2 linked regions of the Diceros bicornis minor genome follow. The protein of the gene in region 2 interacts with the protein of the main gene of each other region in a biochemical or structural test. Links are inferred from orthologs where the notes say so. Each region holds a gene or a part of one and is shown on either strand. Other genes may lie near its edges.

Region 1 (10,372 bases), on a different chromosome or scaffold from region 2:
ACAGGCAACACCCCAGACTTTTATATGATTTCAAGGATCCTTCAATCCTTGACCTGCTCCTTCATTGTATACGTGGGAAAACCAAAGTCCAGAGGGACAGTATTGCCCCAGTGTCACACAGCTGGTTTGCTGGGACAGAAGCCCCATTCCAGACTCCCATTCCAGTGTTCTTTCCAAACCATGATGAATTAATAGCTGATATTGCTGACAAGTGGAGGACTAGGCTTGGAAATTTGCTTCCTGGTGGAAATGTCTACGGGAACAATCCTCCTCCGGGGCCTTGTGGGACACGGGGCTGAGCATCAGGAGCCTGGATTCTGGGCTTCTCTTTGCCACTAAGCTGTGTGACCCTGGGCAAGTCAACCAACCTTTCCGGCCCTCAGTGCTAATCTCCATTGATGAAAGGTGAGGGCAAGAGCCAATGTTCTCCAGTGTTCTTCAAGGCACTCATGTCTTGCAATTGTGTGAAAAGAAACCATCATCAGTATATCAATGTTATTATTATTATTTGTGAAAGCCTCATTAGCCAACTAAAGGTGTGTATAAATCCCTAGCTCCCAGGAGATAGATGGCCTTAGTGCACCCTCATCTTCCACTGTGGAGGCCTGTGGCCTTTCAGGAGAGATCTCCACCTCAGGGGTGGGTCACTTTGCCAAGGAAGAGGATGTTCTCCATGTTCTCCACAATGAGCATCAGAAAGGGCTTGTTGAACACTATCCTTAGAGGGCTCATTCGGGCCGACCTGAACGTAAATATTGCCCCTGTGGCTGCAGCTGCCTTGGTTCCCGACTCGTCCACCTCCACCACGGCTTTGTGCACCATCTGCAGGGGAGACACCAGGTGTCACCGAGCCACCAGGGGCTGGGAGACGCCATCATAGGAAATGACAAAGCTTCTGCCGGCAACATCACCATCAAAGTCTCCATGCAACTGAGCCACGAAGCAGGTAGGAAATGCACAAGTGAACAGTTACTGTGCCCCAGGCACTGTGCTTGGAGGGGAGTGCACACGTGTCTTTTATTGAATCCTCATGACTTCTCGCAGCAAGGGTGTGACTCTCCAATTTTAGAGAGAGAAAGGAGGCTCAGAGAGGTCAAATAATTGTTGGAGGTCACACAGCTAGTGAGTGAAGGAGCTAAGACCCAATTCTTAGTTCTGATTGTTTAAGACAGACTCCTTCCCCCAAGACACAGTGCTGGATATGGCTTCCCATTGCACAAAGGATAAGACAGGAAGTGAAACCTTTGCTTCTTGAGGGAAAAGAAGAAAGAGAAAGAGAATATGGAATGAGGAATGGAATGGAATAGAATAGAATAGAATAGAATAGAGTAGAGTAGAGTACAGTAGAGTAGAGTAGAGTAGAACAGAACAGAACAGAACAGAATAGAATAGAATAGAATAGAATAGAATAGAATAGAATAGAATAGAATAGAATAGAATAGAATAGCCATCTCTGAAAGCAGGTGCGCAGAAGCTTCTGGGCTCACCTCGGACACCTGGATGTTGGAATGGTTGCTAATGCCACTTAGGTTGGCATGGGAGGTGAAGACATCACTGATCCCCAGTTTGGGGAGAACTTTTTCCAGCTGATAGGAGCCCTCAATGGAGAACTTTGGAAGGTAAAGCTCTAACTGCCTGGAAAGAGAGGAGGGCCTTTCTTAGACTCTTCTAGAGCATCGGCACACTGAGCTCATATTCCTTCTATCTCTCCTTGGCTTCATAATGATCCTCCAGCCCCTTGCCTAGAGTGGAGCCCATCCTACCCTGGACTTGGACCTACGCTGTCCCCAGAGGTCACTGCCCATTCTGATGGCACCACCAGGAAACTTGGTCATGTCTTCCAGCCCTGCTCCGTCCAGCAGGGCCAGGCCTGGGGTCTGGGACTTCACATGATGCCTCTGGGCTTGGAGGCAGCTCCTGGGCTGGATGAGTCCTTCCCACCACTGCTGTGTGGCCCTAGGGAGACATGTGTCTCTCTGGGGGTGTGTAGGGTTAGGCTGGCCCCGGGGTAGTCTGAAGAATACCTCTTTATGAACATCTTGAGCCACTTCCTCAGGATTTTCTTGTTCAGTCCGTTCTCCACCTGCCCCATCCTGCCCTCGCTGGGGAGAATGAACAAGGCTGTGGCATTCCCTTGGTAGGGGATCCCCACCACCCTGCAGGAGAGGTTTCGATCCAGGAGGTAGTAATACTGCTCCTCGTGTCTCATCATGGGCACCCGCACCACCATCTCCGAGGTCACATGGAAGTCCTGCTCTTGGGTGCTTTTGTGGTCAAAGCTTGTCTCCCACTTAGCTGAAGATTAAAATGGAAAAGAAATGAGAACTTCTCAGCTGCAAATGACAAGTGTGGAGACAGTAAACCTATTAAGCAGAGATCATCCTCTTTGGAGCAGTCTGGCTGCTGGCAGTGACTGGAGAACACTGTGACCAGGAAGGCAAGCCCCTTATAACTTTGGGGCACACTGGAACTGTTTACGGGGCTTTTCCATCCACATTTGCAAAACAAGAAGGCTGGTTTTCAAGTTTTTAGAGGCCCTTAACCTCTAATGTTTGTTTGAGGCTCTGATGTTACTTGAGGTCAAATATCCAAGTAAAGAGGATAAAAATACGGATGGCTGACAAAGCTACACTGTATCTGGGTGACTTACTCTGTTTTTCACTCTTTTCCCAACATTGGATTTGGTCTAGGTTTGGAGGAGAGCTTTGTAAGGTTCCTGGAAATACATGATTTTTCTTGCTAGGAAGTCTTCAGTTACACTTCCTGCTCTGTCTGCTTCCTACGGGACTTTTTGATCAAAGCGATACAAGTAATTGTTTCCATCTTCTTAATAGCTATCAAATATGGACCCCCTCCCAATACCTCACTTAGCTGATTTCACAGCTGTCCTCTGCAGCCTGGTGTAATGGAGAGAGCCCTGGGCTATGGGACAGGAAATCTTAGAATCCAAGCTTGATATTCACCATCTGTGACCAGGAAGTGGGGGAGGTGGCTAACAATTTCACTATTTTCCTCCTTCCTTCCTCTTTCTCTCTCCTTCCCCCCTCCCCCTCCTGCCCCTGTCCCTCCCCCTCCCCCTCCCCTCCTCTACCTTCCCCTCCTCTCCCCTCCCCTCCTTCTCCCTCCCCTTCCATCCCTTCCCTTCTCCCTCTCTCCTCCCCCTTTCATCCCCTTCCATCCCCTCCCCCTTCCTTGCCCCCCTCCCATCTCCCCTTCCATCACCTCCTCTCTCCTCTCTCGCTGCCTCCTTCCCCTTTCATCCCCTTTTCCCCACCCCCTCTCCCTGTTCATCCCCTCCCCTCCCCTTCCCTCTCCTCTCCTCCTCTCTTCATCCACTCTGCTTTCCTCTTCTTCCCATCCTCAGCCAGACCCCACACAGGGCGCTGAGGGGTTCAGCATCTAGAAGGAGAAGTTGACTTGGGAGCTGGAGATGAGTAGAGATATTTACATGAAACCCCAGGGAGATAAAGATGGAGATGGGTTCTTGAGGAGGGGAGAGGAGGCTATTCAGAGGAACAGGCTCTCATCCCTGGATTTCTCGGCCTAGGAAACAGCCCCTAGGAGGGTATGGGGGAGAGGGTCTGAGGCCCAGGGGAGCAGCTGAGAAATGCCCTTGAAAGCCCATCGAAGGCCGACAGTCCTGGCCTGAGTAGCTGTGGTGTTGGTTTCTTTGGCACCTTGGCCATGAGGAACTCATGCTTCAGAACCTGAGTGGATGCTGTGGCTTCAGGTGTCCCCAGGGTCCCGAAGACAGGACTCAGCCCTTCCCCAGTGGAGGAAACAGCAACCCTGGGGTCATAAGCATCTCCTTACCCAGTGAGAAGGCGCCGTCTTATCACGGCTGATTGTTGGCCTCACTGTTATCAACAGGCACCAGAAAGGACTGAATTTACTCCTCCTCCTCCATGTGTGCGAGAATTGGGTATTCTTTTGACAAAAGCAGTTGGAAGGAGAGAGGAAGTTCAGGCTCGAGCCCAAGGGTCTTACCTTTAAAGAAAATGTAATTCACCATAACCATAATCTCAGTGCTGTCCAGGTCCTTAACCAAGTCTGCAATCTTGCCTTTAGTTTCCTTTGCCACGTAATCATTGATCTGCTTCTGGGCCCCTACGGGGTCCCCAAAGTTCGTGGGGATAGTGTCTGCCAGGTACAGTGTCCTCATGGCATTCAGGAAGGTGTCCTGGATGTGCACCGTGGGGTTGATGAAGAGGGCATTGCCAAGGCTCAGCTGGAGGCCTTCTTTGGGCCGGCTGAGCTCCTGTAGCAACTGCTGGAATGCACTGTGGAGCTCTTCCTCCGGGCCCCCCTGGAGGTTGAGACCCAGGCCCTGCAGGATCTGTGCCTTTGTGTTGGACCGAGCCCCAAGGGAGATCATGGCCAGCGTCATGGAGATGCTCAGAGGAGAGAAGAAGATGTTCTGGTTGGGGGCAGCTGCAGCCAAGGCCCTGTAGAGGTCGAAGGCAAAGTCTCCGGTGTGGGGGGCCACCGTGGTAACTACAGGTGGCAGCTCCTTGCCTCTCTTCTTTGTCTCACGGGAGCGGTGGCGGTGGAGGGTGGCCACCAGCGGGCTGAGGAGCACCAGGCACAAGAGGAGGTTGAGCTGCATTGTGGCGGCCCCTTGTTCTGAAATGGAGAGTGGGAAGATGTGCTCAGAGAGGGTGTGGGGCCAGCGTGTCTGCCCAGAGAGAAGATCAGGAGGAAGCGTGTAAGACCGATGTTCCAGAGAGATTTCACGGCTCAAAATGCAGCATCAGAGGGAAAAGACGACCAGTGAAGCTGGGAGTGAGGGCTTAAGGAGGGCAGAAGGGGCTGCAGGATGAGGTTTGGGGACATGGATATCTAACGGTGGGGAGAGGAAGGAGAAGGCAGAGGGGAGCAGATCCAAGGCAGGGACTGGCCACCAGGGCAAGAATCCTCCCCTCTCACCCACATCAAGGTACACGTGACAGGGGATGGGACATGGAGCTGGGAGGTTCTCCATGTTCTGCCTGGTCAGCATCTCTGTGGTTACTGGATTAGCAGCCTGCTTCCACGTGTGGCTCTAACCCTCGCTTTGGTCCTCAAGTGCAGCATTTGGCAAGGCCTGGTGGGCTTTCTGAGAACTCAGACCAACTACCCGCTGTGGACCCCCAGCACTGCTGGATTTGCCCTTGTTCACTCAGCAAATATATATTGAGCATCTGCTACAAGGCAGGCAGGGTGCTAGGCTCCTGAGAGACGGTCCCTTCTCCTTCTCCCAGGGACGGCTCCAGGACCCTGCAAGGCCACCGTTGTCCCTCATCAGAGGCACCTTCTCTTCCTGAGGAAATTCTGCCCTCTTAACGTGTGCACCTCCACTTCTCTCCTCTTCTGTGATGGGCTGAATTGTGTCCCCAATTCAAATGTTGAAGCCCTAACCCCAGTACCTTGGAATGTGACTATATCTGGAAATAGGGTCTTTAAAGAGGTAGTTAGGCTAAAATGAGGTCATATGGATGGGCCCTAAGCCAATACGACTGGTGTCCTTATAAGAAGAGGAGATCAGGGCACAGGCAGACACAGAGGGAAGACGTGTGAGGACACAGGGAGGAGAAGGTGGCCATCTGCAAGCCAAGGAGGGAGGTCTCAGAAGAAACGAGCCCTGCTGACACCTTCATCTCAGACTTCCAGCCTCCAGAAGGGAGAGGCGATAAATGTCTGTTGCTTGAGCCCCTGGACAGTGGTGCTCTGTCACAGCGGCCCGAGTGCGCTAAGACATCTCTCCTTTCCCTCCCCCAGACAAGAGCCCTCGCCTTCTTTCTCTCTACATCTCTCAGGTGGGGTCTTCCATCATTCCGGCCTCGTCCTCCACCTTCAGTCCCTCCTCCTCTTCCTCCCTCATGTCCATCTACCCAGACCCCTCCTCTCCAACCGGAAACCTTTCCTGCACCCAGGCCTCCCAAAGACCTCCTTCCACCCGCTGTGACTAGCCCAGACTGCAGCCCAGCCGCCTGGGTTCAAATCTCGGCCCTGCTACTCACTCCAAGTGTGATTTGGGGCAAGTCAGTTACACCCCGTCCTCTGTCCCCTACCTGTTCAACGGAGGTAACACAGTGCCTGCACTGGGGGTGAGGGGGGAGTGGAGACTTTAAGGAGTCAATGTAGGTAAAGTGCTTGGAACGGCGCCTGGTGCAGACCTGGTGCTGTGGAAGCAGGAGCTGTCGGTGTGGCAGTGTCTGGCCAGGGCCCACTTGTCCCCCCATTTGAGCACCCCATTTCCTCAGCCGTACAGTGGGGTACGTGCTTTCACACACTCGTTCTCATGGGAGCCCAGTGTTGGCCGGGTAACTAACTCCAAGGCTGCCGATGGCCTGAGTTCTGATGAAAGCTCTTGCTCAGATCTTCCCCTCCAGCTGAGCGTTCTCCCCCATGGACACAATGTCATCAGGTCTCCCAGCCCCAGCGTGAGCACGGCCACGGAGTCACGTGACCCAGGCAAAACCAAACTCCAAAGGGCTGCAAACAGCTGCATTGTACATTGCTTGCAGAGTGGCCCATGGTGGGGGAGGGAGGGAGGGACATGACATGCCAATGAGCTTGGGAGTCAGGGGACCTGGGCTGCAATCCTGCCTGTGAGCGAAATCGAGGGACTCGAGCAGGTCGCACTCACCGCCCCTGGCCTCCAAACTGCACCTGAGCTCACAAAGGAGGCTCCTTTAGAATGTTCTGTCTGCAGAACCTCTGGCTACCCAGCACTGAATACAGCAGCCTCAGCAATCACCGTGCCCGTGGGAGGCCCAGGCGCATCGCCGGCGCCCGCTGGGAGGTGCTGTGCTGTCTTGACACATATCAACTCCTTTAGCCTCACGCCCCCCGACGGAGGCAGGTTCTATTACTAGCTCCATTTCACAGATGAGTAATCTGAGGCTCAGAGAGGTCGAGTCACATGCTAATAGTGGCGAAGCTTGGGCTCAGACCCGGTTCTGCCCTCAATGCCCACACTCTAAACCGCTGTACCATCAGTTTCCCCAGATCCCTAGTCTTGCTCTTCTGGGTCTCGGCCTCCCAATCTTGTATTCCCTGCCTCAGCAGCTGCCACTCATAGCCCTTAACCTGCAGATAATGAAGAAACCCTGTCTGGCTTCCCATGCTTTTTGTTTTTTGAACAAAAACTCCCTTTTTGTTCCCACCTTGAGAGTTGCCTTCCTGGAGGTCTTTCAAGGACGTGGGTGGGTGGGGGACTCTCTATGTCCTTTCAACTAGTCTGTTTTACAGCACACTGTGGTCCCTCCCCCAAAGTGTTAGCACCATCAGATAATTCCCTTAAAAGGAACCCTTTCAAAGAACAGCTACAGAGGCAGAGGGAGTTTCCTGTGTGGACGGAGCCCAGAGGCAGCTGACTGGGGTGCAGGAGGGAGGGTTCTGGCTCCCAGCCTCCCATCCATGCAGCCCTCCTGGTGACCTTGGGGCAGGCCCTTCCCCTCTCAGGCCTCTGTTTCTTCACAAACAACTGGAGGTCTGTCACATGTTCTGTCCAGTAACCTTCCCCCCTGCCACTGTCCCCACCCCCTTGAACCCCAGAGATCTGACAGGCCAGAGCCACTTCTCCAAGTGCCACTGAGTCTCCAGGATAGCAGGGTCTCCTTGGAGAGAGCTGCAGCTTCACTCAGGGTCCCCTGGGCTGCAGGCTGGGGACCAAGAAGTCTTGCTCCATTTGGGCTCACTCTCTCTCTCTCATTACTATTTATTAAGGACCTATTATACATTCTATAAATATTACTACATTTCAGCTTTACCGAAAGCAAGCAGGCCTCCAGGAAGGCAACTCTCAAGGTTCAGTCCGTTTTACAGCTGAATAAACTGAGGCTTAGTAAAACGGAATAGCTTGTCCTAGCCAGTGAGTGATGGAAGCAGGATTAAAATCCAGATTCCTCGGACTGATGTAGTGCTGCCTCTTTGGTCCCTTTTACGGCCCTGAGGAATGACCTTGTTCCTCCTCCCCTGTAGCTCCTGCTACATATCCCTGGGTCTCTCCCAGGCTGGTCACCTGTATTAGCTCGTTTACACTCCTCCACAGCAACATGGAGTTGGTATCGTTATCATAACTGTACAGAAGAGGAAACAGAGAGTCAGAGACGTCACTTCTGAGAAAGTGGAGGCCTTGGGGTGCTCATTTCAGGTTTCCTAGTTTCAAAGCTCAGGCTTTGCCAGCACACTCCTGGGCCTCTGGTGGACACACACAGATTTGACAGAGTTTTGTGCCAACTTTGAGCCGGCGTGAGTCTGCTTCAGGCACTTAGGAGACCAGCCCCACTGCGTGGTGGCAGAGCCTGGCCTGGCTGACCCTCTCCTGGGGTGTTTCTGCAGAGATGCCCCCACATGTCAGAGGGAAGAGAGCAGATCTATCAAGCCCATCTGGCACCCCAGGGCAAAGAGACCTGAGGAGGCAGGAGGTGGGCAGGCCCTGGGCAGCCCTCCCACTGATCCTCAACATCCACAGACCCAAAATCTGCTGACGTTTATTCTAAACATTAAGCAACAGAGTCCCAGCGGGTCGACTTTGGACTCAGTTGTGAGAGGCGCACAGCTGAGGAGGGTCTGTCCACTCTCTGCTCATTACAAGAGGAGATGTCAGTCTAGGGGCCCAGGCAGAGAGGAAAAGACAAAAACCACAACTTCCCCAGATCCTAAAGACGTTGGGGGCAGAGCTTCCTGGGATCAGTGACCTACGAAACTTTCTTAACCTCCCTTCCCATCTCCAGACCATCGGCGGGACTTGTTGGTTTCCAGCTCTAAAATATGTCTTCAATCTGCCTGCCTCTCCCCATTTTCCCTGCCACCATCCTGATGGAAGCCCCTTCTGTCTTTCTCCTGGACCACCCCATTGCTCCTCCTGCCCCTGAGAACCATTTTACATCCAGCGTCTGGAAGAATCTCTGTGATACACAAACATGGTCATGGTGCTCCCCTTCCTAAGAACGTGATTCCGCTCATTCCTTTGAGATAAAATCTAACTGATTTGTGCGATAACCGAGGCTCCATGTGGTCTGGCTCTGTCTGGCTCTCACCAGCCTCATCCTGACCTGCTCCGCCCTCAATCAGGTGTGTCCTCTGAGCACACTCCTTTTTTCAATTCCTCCAACACAGTCAGCCCTGTCCCAGCCCTGGGCCCTTGCACATTCTGCTCTTTCTGCTGGAAACGTCTCTCTGCCTTTCTCTCCAAGGCCAGCTTCTCCGTTGGCTTCAAGCCTCTGTTGAAATGTCACTTCTTGGGGATACCCTGTCCACGCCTGGCCCCTTCCTCTCCACCATTATCTCTCTAACATTCCCTTGATCGTTCCTCTCTGGCTCCGTCAATTACAGCAGTGCAATTACTTCTGCATTTGTGGTTGCCTTCTTTTGTTCCGGCCTCCCTCCCACTAGAATACACGCTCATAACAGAGAGGACCCTCATCTGGCCTGCTCCCGGCTGCGAGACTTCCAAGTCAAGGAAGTTGATTCTACCTTTGTGGAATAAACGAATGTATGAATGAATGGACCTCTGTCTCCTCCTCTGTGATTCAGAGGTGTCAGAGCACACGCCAGACATGGCGTGGTGGGAATGAGCCGGGCTGAGCATCCAGAGCTGAGCTCTCTTGGCCCTGGGGCTAACTCATCCGTGGACCTTGAATGACTCCTCCACTGCTGCTCAGCTTCTTTCTCTCTTTTTCTTTTTTAAAACCACTGTATTGAGATATGACTCACATACAAAGAGCCGCTCATATTTAATGCATACAACTTGATAAGTTTCAAGCTACATACACACCCGTGAAACCATCCCCACCATCAACACAGCCATCACCCTCTTTCTTACCCCCCGTCCGCCCGCCCTCCTTATTCCTCATGCTGCGGTTTCTTGACCTGTGAATGAATGAGGATGTTGGCCCAGGGGAGCAGTTTCTCTTTTATTGTTATATTTCTTGCCAAGGGCCCCATCCTTAGAAAAACTGAAAATTCCACTCATTTTATGCCTATGTTTTGTTTATTTAACAAACGTCCAAACAGTGTCTGATGCCCCAGCGGCCGCCGTGATACTGGAGGCTGGGTGGCAGCCTCCAGGCAGGGCTGCCTTGTCTCAGGGAAACATTCTATTTGATCATTTTCCCTGATTTCCAAAGGTCTGAGGTTCCAGGCACAGAAAACAATCAAGCTATGGTTTACTGAGTATCTCCTGGGTCTCACTTTTCGTCCCCACTCCCTTATTTCAGGGTTTCTCAACCTCGGCACTGTTGGCATTTGGAACCAGATCATTCTCTGTCGTGGGGCTGTCCTGTGCCGTGTAGGACTCTTAGCAGCATCCTGGTCTCTGCTCACTGGATGCCAATAGCAGCCCCCCGTCCGGTCGTGACAACTAAAAATGTCTCCAGACATTGTC
Region 2 (10,781 bases):
TGCTTAGTGACTCCCCATTTCCTACCACACCAAGTTTAAAATCCTCTGCTTGGCTTTCAAAGCCCTATTATCTGCCACTATTCCATCTACATTCTCAGACCCTCCTTCTCCTCCCCGCTCTGTGCTCATTCTCATTTTTTTATCTTTCAATTGAACTGCTCTCTTTTCTTCTCTCTGCCTCCTCAGTTTCCTATTGAATCACATTCTCTTTAAAGCCTCCCTTGTGTGACCATCCAGTGGGCACTCACCTCTCTCCTACTGATCATTTATAATTCACACCACACCCTGAGTACTGAGTTGTATTATTTTCTATTGTTTTCTCTTTCTTAGTCCCCCTCCCTCACCTAGTCTGAAGTGCCTAGCACAGAGCCAGGCTCATGACAACTGTTTGATAAACGTATAAGGATTTAAGCCTTTTAAGACCTGGGCTCCTGATTCTGGGTTTTGGGGGCTTTGGCTGGAGAGACACCTCCCAAAGCTGACAGGGACAGGCCCAGGAGCCCCGGGGAGATTTGGAGATGATGGAGAGAGATGCTTGGAACTCTCACCTGGCAGGAATCTGTTTCCCAATGAGGGTCAGCAGCACACAGCATTTTGGTGGTGACTTCAGAGCCGTAGTAGTGGGGCTGCTGACACTCCTGGTGGGAAACCAGCTTCACAACAGTCATTTTCAGCTGTTCTGGATAGAGATAGCCAGCTAGATGGAAGAAACAGGGGGAATTTATGTAAAGATGTATCTGTCTAGCCCTCCCACTGGGATTTTCTGCCAGGGAGGGGACCAAAAAGTGTCCCTACCAGAGAAAGCCCTTATTCTTTTTCCACCCAAATCTGAGCCTTTACCCCATCTATAGCCCCTCACCCCCCATCTATTTACCTTTATGATCCATCATTTTCTAAACAATGTTCCCCACTGCATCCCTGGACCCATCTGCTGCCTCCACGATGCTCCCGTCTCTATCTCCACAGTCCTCCCTTGATCAAGCTGAGCTCACTTCTAGGTTACAACACTCCCCCAAGACCCTCAGGCAGCCCCAAATATCACTTACTGGAAGTCTCTTTTCCAAAGCCAGTGATCTCACAGTTTGTGCCAAAATGGTCATCGCCATATGGTGGGGGCAGGCAGATGGTCTGTATGGACCGGGATGGCTGTGCACACTGGCCCGAGCTGGAACTGATCTTCAGCAAGGCTGGGGGAGGGGCAAGGGGTCAGGTGGTCACCATCTCTCCCCACCAAATGCTGAGGGAGTGGCTTTCTATCCCTAGGTCAATTAGGGTCAGGGCTCATCCTGGGAGATCTGCTGATAGCTTGTCACCCAAAAGAAGCCTCCCCTGTCCCATGCCTCGAGGGCTTTGTCCCAGCTCCTACAAAGGCTGGGACACCCAGGGCTGACACATACAACTGTATGGGTTTTTTTCTGCAAAAACCCCTGGCTGAGGTAGCTGGGCTAAAATCCAGCCCAATGCTCTCTCCAACTTCTATATCCTGGGACAGACAGAGGCTGCATTCAACAAAGGAAGGGGCATTCCAGCCCAAGCCATATGCCCAAGGGGCCACTGCCACCCAGAGGAGGTTATCTGTTTGGAAATTCAGGAACTCTACAGAGGAGCACCAGGCACCTCATATGTGTCACTCTGAATCCTTCTCCATCACTCCCTTTGTTGTATAAAGCAGGGTCTTCAAGTTCCCCTACAACCTCAACCTCCCACCTGAGTCTCTTCTTGGACCCCACTTCCCCTAACCATCCTTATTATGGCAGTTGAGGGTTTTCCACTCACCGATATCATTGTGGTGAGCAAGTGTGTCAGCACTATAGCCCTCATGCAAGATGAGCTTTTCCACCTCAAACTTCATCTCCCCAGGCGTCTCGGAGTTAAGACTTGACCGACCCAGGTAGACAGTGTAGTCCTCTTTCTTTGGGTGATTACTGTGGGAGGGAAGACCTGTCAGACAGTCTGATCTCATGAGATCCTGTCACTTCCCCTCCACACCACCTCAGAGCATGACTTGTTCCCAAGGCCATGGGCTGCACGGAGAGGGGCTGAGAACTGAAGTGGAACCTTTCGCTGGGAAAGAGAAAGGGATGTGTTCGGGGTAGGGCAGGAGGGTCAGAGAGAAGAGACGGGGGGACGTACATGAAGCAGTGTGTGGCGCTGACCACCCAGCAAGGACTGATGAGGCTGCCGCCGCACAAGTAAGTGACAGAGCCTCCGCGGTGCCTCTTATAGATGGCCGCAAACCAGGGCTGGTTCTCGATGGTGGTGAATTCTCCCCCAACAATCTTAAAGCGGGGCCTCAGAGCCTTCTGACCACATTGAAATTCTGCTTTTTCCGGAGGAGAGGGGGTACTTTTTCCTGAAGGAGAAAAAGAGGGATGTCTTGGGGAGGCAGGTAGGATAAAGTGCCCCTCTCCTTGTCCTCTGACCTCCCAGTTTTTCAAGGCCTGGCAGGCTCCTTCCTCATCCCTCCTATGATGGAATGAGGGGCTGTACGAGTTTGTCCCCTTCCACCCTACCATCATAAACAGGTCAGTGACACTCACCAAAAGAGCAGTCCTGCACCATGCACTCTTGGACAAGCTGGTTTAGGCCAACCTGCACATAGCACCAGGGCCTTCTCTGGTTGTCTGGGTTCCTAGCAACACAGAGTGGAAGGGGGTGTCATACCAACCCAGAATGCCTTTCCTGCATCCTCCCCTGCAGGGAAGACTCAACTAGAGGCCTTGCTTTTCTCATGCTGTGGCCAGCACTCTGGAAGCAGAAGGGGATGGTAACAAGGGTTTCTGTGAGGCCATGGGGAGGGTCCTTGCTGCCCCCACCTCACCTGCAGTAATTGTGTTTCCCCAGGCCCAGCTGAAGGGCATCAGGTCTGTGGGCATGATATGTTTTCATAAGGACTGCGGGAGAGTTCCACTCCAGGCAGGGCCGGCCCCTGATGTCAGTTTTGGCCTTCCCTCGGTAAGAGCGACCATTCCCCTCATAACAGGTTTTTGATGTATCTACAGAAGAATGTGAGGATGAGAAAATATTAGAATAAGGAGGAAGTTCAGACAGGCATTTTAGAGATCCTGCCAAACACCGCATGATTTAAACCTTGGCAGAAGACACTAGAAAAGTGTCTCCTTCCATCTCCATCTCACATTTGTGCAGCCACAGATTCATGAGACAGTGTGTGTTTATGTTTGACTGTGTACATCACATAGGGATGAAGATGTCCCCCACTCCACCTCCAGCTCTTAACTCCTGCCTGCTCTTGCATCCCACCCATCTCTCCCTGCCACAAAATCTCTGGTGCCCCCTCCTCCCCACTTAGAATCAGGATCCCCATACCTATTTCACAGTGTTCCCCTTGGAATTTCTTTGGGCAGTTGCACCGCTGAATGTTGGAGAAGAACTTGTAGGACACACATGTTCCTCCATTCAGACAGCCACAGTTTGCTGCAGAGCACAAAGGTGGGGGGTAAGCAAGGAGTGTGGGAAGAAGCAAGGGGGAAGCCAGCCCTGCAGCAGGGTCAGGGAGGGGCTGCCCCCTGAGTCTTTTTCAAGATGTCTGTGCAGCCAGATATTATGCAAGGGGTGGATACTCACATGCACTGGACGCTCCATGAAGTTTATGGCTGCCCTGGAAGAGAGGGGAGGGGAGGGGGAAAGTTCACTGAAGGTCCCACGCTCCTGGGATTCCAGGGTGTGGATAAACTGGCCCCAATCCCAAAACTCACCCTTCCCACCAGCTCCCTCTCTCCTCACTCTGTTCATATCTAACTGGCCCTCAAATGGAAGATCATAGATTTCCAGCAGGGAGAAATGGATTGACTCAAGCAAGCTTCACATATCAGGTGCCAGCAGGCTGGGGCAGTCCCTGCGGTTTTTCCTCCTTTGCCGGCAAGTGAGAACTCCCTTGGTTCTCAAGGCCCCCATTGCCACACTTGTCCTATTTTCCTGGGAGGGTCTGGCCCTGCTGTTCATGGAATTCGGAGGACTCCAGTTCCCTATGCAGCCCCTTCCTTCCCCTGGCGCTGTTCAGGGGTTCAGCAAACCCCGCCGCCATAAGTCAAAGCAGAGAAGCCACTCACTTCAGAGTCGCTCACGACCAGGACACAGAGGAGCAGGCAAGCCAGCAGGACTCTCATGGTGGCGAGGCTGAGGCTCTAGACAGCGGCTCTGCAAGGAAAGGAGAAGTCAGGGGAAGAAGCGGAGGAGCGAGAAAGCGGCCCGGGTGGTTACTGCAGTTCAGGGCAGAAGCCCCTAGGTCCCCTGTGAGGCGAGCCCGCGGTGACCAGGCTCCCCAGGCCCGGCCGTCTTTCCTTTCTCGGGCCTCAGGGGTCCCGGCGCAGCCTGGACCGGCATCCGGGGGGAGACGCATGGACACGGGGAGCGGTGACTCAGCCGCGGCCGCAGCCGAGCCGGAGCAGCCGGGGTAGGGGGAAGGGAAGCCAGCGGACGGGGCCGCCGCGCATTCGCCCCGCGCTCCTAGGGCGGCGCGCACTCACCGGCGGCTGTGGCAGGAGGGCTGCGGAGCCGGGATGGCGGGCACAGGTTGACACTGACACTTAGCCGGGCTCCGGGGCTCCAGTCTCTGCGCTGTGCTGCTAGCCAGCTGCGCGGACTCTATATTAGGACTCGCCCCAGCCTGGCCCCGCCCCAGCCCAGGATCGCCCTTTCCACTCCCTTCCCTCCCCTTCCCGGAGCCCGCCCCGCGACCTGGACCCCGCGTGCTTCCCCAGCCATGACTGAGAGTGTGGGGCAGCGTGGTCCCCAGGGGAGGAGACATGCGAGGTCTGAATTGTGGGATCTAGAGGCATCTAAATTCGCAGCCCGCTCATCCCAGCTCATCCCATTCATCTGGCCTGGGCCCCGCCCCAGTGCCAGGCCCCGAGGTGCAGAGAGGAGAGGCGCTGCCGGGACTTTGTCCCGGTACAGCTCTGATACCTCCTCCAGGATCCCCTAAATCAGCTGTTCTCCAGCCTTTTCACACTCGACCGCCAACTGCCTGGGAGACTGATTCAGACCCCTGGATATATAGGGGCAGGGTCCGCAGCTCATATAGCTATGAGTTCTCTTTCTCAACGTGAAAATGCACGTGACACGCACTCGCTGAAACACAGACAAAAAACCTGCTAACAGGGGCTGCTTCTGTCGAGTGCCGGCTCCCCTCAAATCTTCAACACAACCAGCGGATAAGACAAAGCTGAGTTTATTGCTTACTGAATTTAGGGATTTTGGTAGTGGGGAACGAGAGAGGGGAGGTAAGGTCGGATTTCATGGAGAATTTGCAGTTTGTTTTAAGGGTGGTCTTTGAAAGTGAGGGCCTGATAAGGATTGGATAAGGATCATGATATAATATTGTAGGATTGTGAGAACGAGGTCTTAGGGCACAAACTGTTGATGCTTTCTGTTGAAGTGTTGATGGGTCTTTCAGGAAGTTCCTACAATGAACAATCCATCTATTTGCTTGGGCTGGAGTATAGTTAGTTGATAAAGACAATGGAATAGTAAAGCCTTATTAATGTATACAGTAAACTGTGGAGGGGTAGGAAGTTCTGTTTTCACCTCTGAAGAGAGGAATTGGGGAACTGGAGGACAAAAATGAGAAGATTTGTTTTTCACTGTATGCCCTTTTACGCTATTTAAATTTTTGAAAACACATCCTTATATCACCCATTCCAAAAAGATGATTACAGAGTTCTGAATGCACATGTATTTAGTATTCTACTTCATCATACAGCCTTGTTTCTAATAAGGTTAAATAATTGCTTATCAAATAAGGTGGGCCTCCAGAAAGACAGACCATGTGTAAAGGACTCTACCCGTTCTTCCTGCCTGATGGTGAGCGCACACACTTGTGTACACAAGCACATGCACACACACATGCACACGCACATATCCCTCAGGCACAGTTGAAGGAGCACAGCAGGGACTCCAAGGTTGGGTCACCCGCATCCCTTTCCCCTAGTGTTGGAACCAGGGCTTGGGGTCAATTCCACCTAGCAGGGCTGTCTCCCCTAATGGGAGAGGAGGGGGCTGAGTCCCTATAACTCTCTAGAGGTTCAAGGCCAGGCCCAAGGCTTGGTCCCTCTCCCCACCTAGGCCTACAGCATTTTGCTGCCTAGCAAACCTGGACTGGGTCTGGGACCACTTGAATGGGGCAGGACAAGGGCAGGGAGAGTGCCAGGAAGGTAGGAAGGAGGAAAGACTCTTTGCTCTGCTCCAGCCCAAGGTCTCAGGATGCCAGTCTCTGCCTGGGGAAAGTGCAAGTTAACTTTCCAGCTGTCACGAGGCAGGTGACCCATAGTCCTCCAGAGAGAGCTTTTCTGTGCCCGGCTGAGCTGCCAGCCTCCCCAGGGATGGACTAAGTCAGAGGAGCTACAGGCCTCGGAGCTGGCCTCACTACTTCCTCTAGAAGACCGGGACATGTTTTGTTTAGATTTAGAATACATTAATTGTAAATAAACATGATCAAAATGTAAACAGAGATGTTGCAGCCTGAGGACTTACCCTGAAACTCTTAGGTTAGTTATCAGGAAATTCCCAGCAAACTGTCTCGTGAATCACACAGCTCCCCAGCAGCTCTCATGACTCCAGATTACTTGGCTGGAGGCTGTCATGCTGAATCTCAAGAGTAGGATGACCTCATTTCCTCCCTGTCAAAGAGGCTTGGAGACCGTTATGCAGCGTGACATCCTCTTCCCCCTCCTTCCCCCTGCTGCCTCTTCACCTGGTTGAACAATCCTAGAGCCTCTAACTCTTCACAGAACTTCCTTTTCACTCTGTGATCTTTGGCGCTCTCTGAAATCTCTGTGTCTGTCCTTTGGTGCACAGTCTGTGCTAGTCTTTCGGTTCTTGGAGGGCATAGACCACATCTTAAATACCTTTGTCTCTCCCTCAGCACTTGGTGTGTGCCTTGTTCACGCAGGTGCTTTATTATAAATGAATCAGGAACAAGTGGAAACAGAGAGCTTTGGGGCACCCCAGAAGTTTCCCGCCTCTCTCTGTCTTTTTTTCCTTGCCATAAAAAATAGTACCGGCATCGTTTCTGTCTTGTGCTAAAAAGCACTTTGATATAAACTATTCTCCTTTAAACTCACAACTTCTTTGTGATGTAGCTGAGAATTGTTATTCCCATTTTGCAGATGAGGACAATGAGGTGGACAGAAGATACACAGTTGACGAGCGGCAAAGCCAGCACCCAGATTTTCATTCCATTGCTCTATGCCTCCCTGCCTCCACAAGAGAGAGGTACAAGACAGAATGCTGTGAAGAGATGGGCCAGATGATGTAAGATGTTCCAGCTCGGAGAGCCATCTTACTGGCTTTTGAGAACTTCCAGAAACACTCCTCAGGCTATGGGCTCTGAGCTCCTGGGAGGGCCTTGCTGTAATATGAGTTACTTGCTCATCTGAGTTGCAGGACCTAACTTGGTGGTCTAGGCTATCTGAAGTTTCTATCAAGGATAAAAGAATAAGGAACTGAATGTGTATGATTTCATTCTTTCCTGACTCCCAGAGTAAAGCCACCAGCTCCCTGCCTCTGTGTCTCAGGAGTCCAGATCTCCTGAGTCAGCAGAGACTAATGGAGGGGCCCCCTTTCCTGAAGCTGTTCATAAAGGGGCAGGCAGATGCCAGATGTGCAAGGGGACCAGGATGTCCGAACTTGGCCCTGAGACTGTGTCCAGGTAACTGGGCTCCTGAAGGGCTATTTTCTGACCAGCAGAACCCCAAAGGAAGTTCACGTCAAGTCGTAGGATGTATTCCTGGATTGCTGTACCAAGAAGGTTCAGCTTGGGTATAGAAAGAGCACAGTGTCTAGCCTCAGGTCTGACACATCTAAGTTGAATGACCTTAGGCAAGACACTTAACTCTCTTGGTCTCAGTTCTCCAACCATAAAATGAGGCAATGCCTGCCCTGCCTGTGCCTCACTTTGAGGACTGAATGAGATCATGCTTGTGTGTGAAAGCATTCATTCACCCCATTATTCATTCATCCAGTATTTATCACGGATCTACTGTGTGCCAGGCACAGATCTAGACGCTAGAGATAGGACGAACTTTGGAAACTATAATTCCTACCCTGAGTGCCTCCCTTGCCTTCCTGACTATGGCTGTACCAGCCCAGAAGACCACGCCATTCTGGAATCCATCCCAGAATTCCAGCCAAGTGGGGATGCTATGTCCTTAGCTAGCAGTTCCCAGCAACTGGCCAGCTGCATGTGCTGCTCGCCCCCACAGCCCTAACTCCCACTTCCTCCCACTCCTCTCTGTTGTCTGCGGCCTGAAGCTCTTCTCTCTTTCTTACACGGGGGCAGATGGACTCCTCTGCAGTTCTGGGAAGGAGATGCTAATTGCTGATCACATAGCTTCCTTGGATCTGAAGACTCCTTCTCCCTGCGTGTTTAGTGTTAAGGGCAAAGATGCTGTCGTCACAGCAGGCACTGAAAGCCACGTCTTGGGACCGTAACATGATAGGGGAGGTGCTGGAACTTCTAGGCCCCCAGTGGCCTGTGGAAAGAGTGGGGCGGGGAAGCCACATTCTTGCTTCCTTACTCATGGAAAGCAAAGAGCCCAGGGGCTGCACCCTGAGGTTATACTTTGTCGTCAGTAGCACTATGAACAGAGGGACCAAGTTGGTCCCTCCAACTTCAGCCTATGACCCCCTACCCTTCCTCGCCCTTTCCTGCTTCACCATCTCTGGCCCAATTCCTAGCCCCACCCAGGCCAGTCAGCTCAGACTTCTGCATGAATATTTTGAGCCTTGGTCAAATTTTTTCTTTGTCTCTAACTTAAACCCAGTTACTTCCTAAGTCAAGAACTTATTGCCTTCAAGGAGTGTTGGTCATGGCTTTCCAGACCTTCTGGATTCTGACTCCCTCACCAGGAACCAAAGCTAGGCCCTGGTCCTAGAACTTCTGCTTAGAGCCCAGGTTACCATGTTAGATGGCAATGGCTGCTTAACTGGAAGCTAAGTGGGATACGGAGGAACAGAGGGCTGGGATGGGAAACCAGAAACTGGTGGGTTTGCCGAAAACTGCCAAAAAGTCAATGACGTTTAGAGAAATAAATGCAGCCGGGAGCTGATATACTCAAAAATATTGTTCAGAAGAAAACCAAGATAATATCCATAGCCCATATGATGTATAATTTCATGTGCTTATGGCCCTCCTAAGCTGGATTCTATATGCTTCTCTGTCTTTAAAGCAAGTGCCAGCAGTTCCCTTTCCATTACACAGAGAAGGAAATAGAAGACTAATGAAGGGAAGTGAATCATCTGAATTCATTCACTGAAAATGATGGGATTCAGAATTCACCGACTTTTGAGGAACCTCATGACACATTTTCACCCTGTCCCCTCCTATTCTGAATCCTTACTCCTCCCTTCCTGACCACCTTCAACCCCCATCCTCAGTTTCTGTGTCTTCCTACCCACTTGCAGAAGGTGCCTCTTTTCTCCAAGCAGTGATTGATAACAGTGTAATGAGGCAGCCAAGTCCTGGGGAGAAGTCAGTCTCCTATTAGAAGGTACTATAGGGGGCCACCCTGATGGCATAGTGGTTAAGTTCATGCGCTCTGCTTTGGCGGCCCGGGATTTGTGGGCTCAGATCCTGGGCATGGACCTACACAGCGCTCATCAAGCCATGATGAGGCGGCATTCCACATACAAAATAGAGGGAGATTGGCACAGATGTTAGCTCAGGGACAATCTTCCTCACTAAAAAAAAGAAAAGGAAGGTACTATAGGACAAAATGTGTGGAAGTCTGTGGGAAGAAGGAGCAGGAACATAGCAGGGAGCCCCTGAGATGGTGCATATGCAGAGTGAGAAGGTAATGGAACCAGGAGACTCCTGTTTGCTCTACCAGCAGTGATGATGGGAAGTGTGACAGGAACTAAAGAAGAGGAAGTCTATTCTCTCCAAGGGGATATTATAATCTACCCTTTGTTAAAGATAGATAATAACAGCCGACCTTTATTTGTTTTACATTCATTTTCTTTTTCAATCTTAGCAACAACCTTTAGGGACAGTACTATTTTTTTAAAAAATAATTTTATTTATTTATTTATTTTCCCCCTAAGCCCCAGTAGATAGTTGTATGTCATAGCTGCACATCCTTCTAGTATGTGGGACGCGGCCTTAGCATGGCCGGAAAAGCAGTGTGTCGGTGCGTGCCCGGGATCCGAACCCGGGCCCACCAGCAGCTGAGTACACGCACTTAACCACTAAGCCACGGGGCCGGCCCAAGGACGGTACTATTAATATCACTATTTTATGGATGAGAAAACTGAGGCTCACAGAGTATAAGCAGTTTACCCAAGGTAACACTATATGTAAATGGTAGAGTTGGGACCCATATCAAGACCTGGTTGATTCCAGGGTTTGGAGAACTATCTCTGAGGCAGTATGACATTCAGTCAGGAAGGTGGGGGTGCTTGTCCTTATACCTGGAACTCTTCCTACTTCTAATCCACGGTGCCACCCCAGCGTAGCCCCAGCTGCCCAAGTCATGTCTGTGTTGGTTCCTGCCTACCCAGCTCAAGCCAAATGTTTATCAAAAAAACATTTGATAAAAATGTTTTTCCTTTTGCTTAATATGGCCAGCCACAGTTGTGTCTGCTGAGTCTGGTCAGAGAAGTGATCTTTGGGTCTTCTGGCTGTGTTTATATATCTTTATGGATCCCTGGAACCATCAATGTCCAGTCTTCCTTTTTCACAACCATTATTTACCCGTATTTATATAATGGAGATACCCTGGGGTTTTTCTGTGGTAAAATAACAGTAGCATCTATTTACTGAG

The links.
Region 1: the proteins of PLAU (region 2) and plasma serine protease inhibitor-like form a complex in vitro, tested with the Homo sapiens proteins (2 studies listed by BioGRID). The link is inferred for Diceros bicornis minor from reciprocal best matches to the Homo sapiens genes PLAU and SERPINA5.

The regions. Positions count from the first base shown.
Region 1 is NC_080763.1:40,250,277-40,260,648, reverse strand, and holds the start of plasma serine protease inhibitor-like, read right to left. Parts: upstream 4,607-10,372; coding exon 3,988-4,606; intron 2,296-3,987; coding exon 2,025-2,295; intron 1,636-2,024; coding exon 1,488-1,635; intron 823-1,487; coding exon 634-822; 3' UTR 1-633. UniProt on the Homo sapiens protein: Heparin-dependent serine protease inhibitor acting in body fluids and secretions. Inactivates serine proteases by binding irreversibly to their serine activation site. Involved in the regulation of intravascular and extravascular proteolytic activities.
Region 2 is NC_080745.1:32,780,785-32,791,565, forward strand, and holds the start of PLAU (urokinase-type plasminogen activator), read right to left. Parts: upstream 4,592-10,781; 5' UTR 4,488-4,591; intron 4,159-4,487; 5' UTR 4,128-4,158; coding exon 4,071-4,127; intron 3,620-4,070; coding exon 3,586-3,619; intron 3,436-3,585; coding exon 3,328-3,435; intron 2,997-3,327; coding exon 2,822-2,996; intron 2,633-2,821; coding exon 2,541-2,632; intron 2,354-2,540; coding exon 2,134-2,353; intron 1,926-2,133; coding exon 1,777-1,925; intron 1,188-1,776; coding exon 1,047-1,187; intron 698-1,046; coding exon 549-697; intron 1-548. UniProt on the Homo sapiens protein: Specifically cleaves the zymogen plasminogen to form the active enzyme plasmin.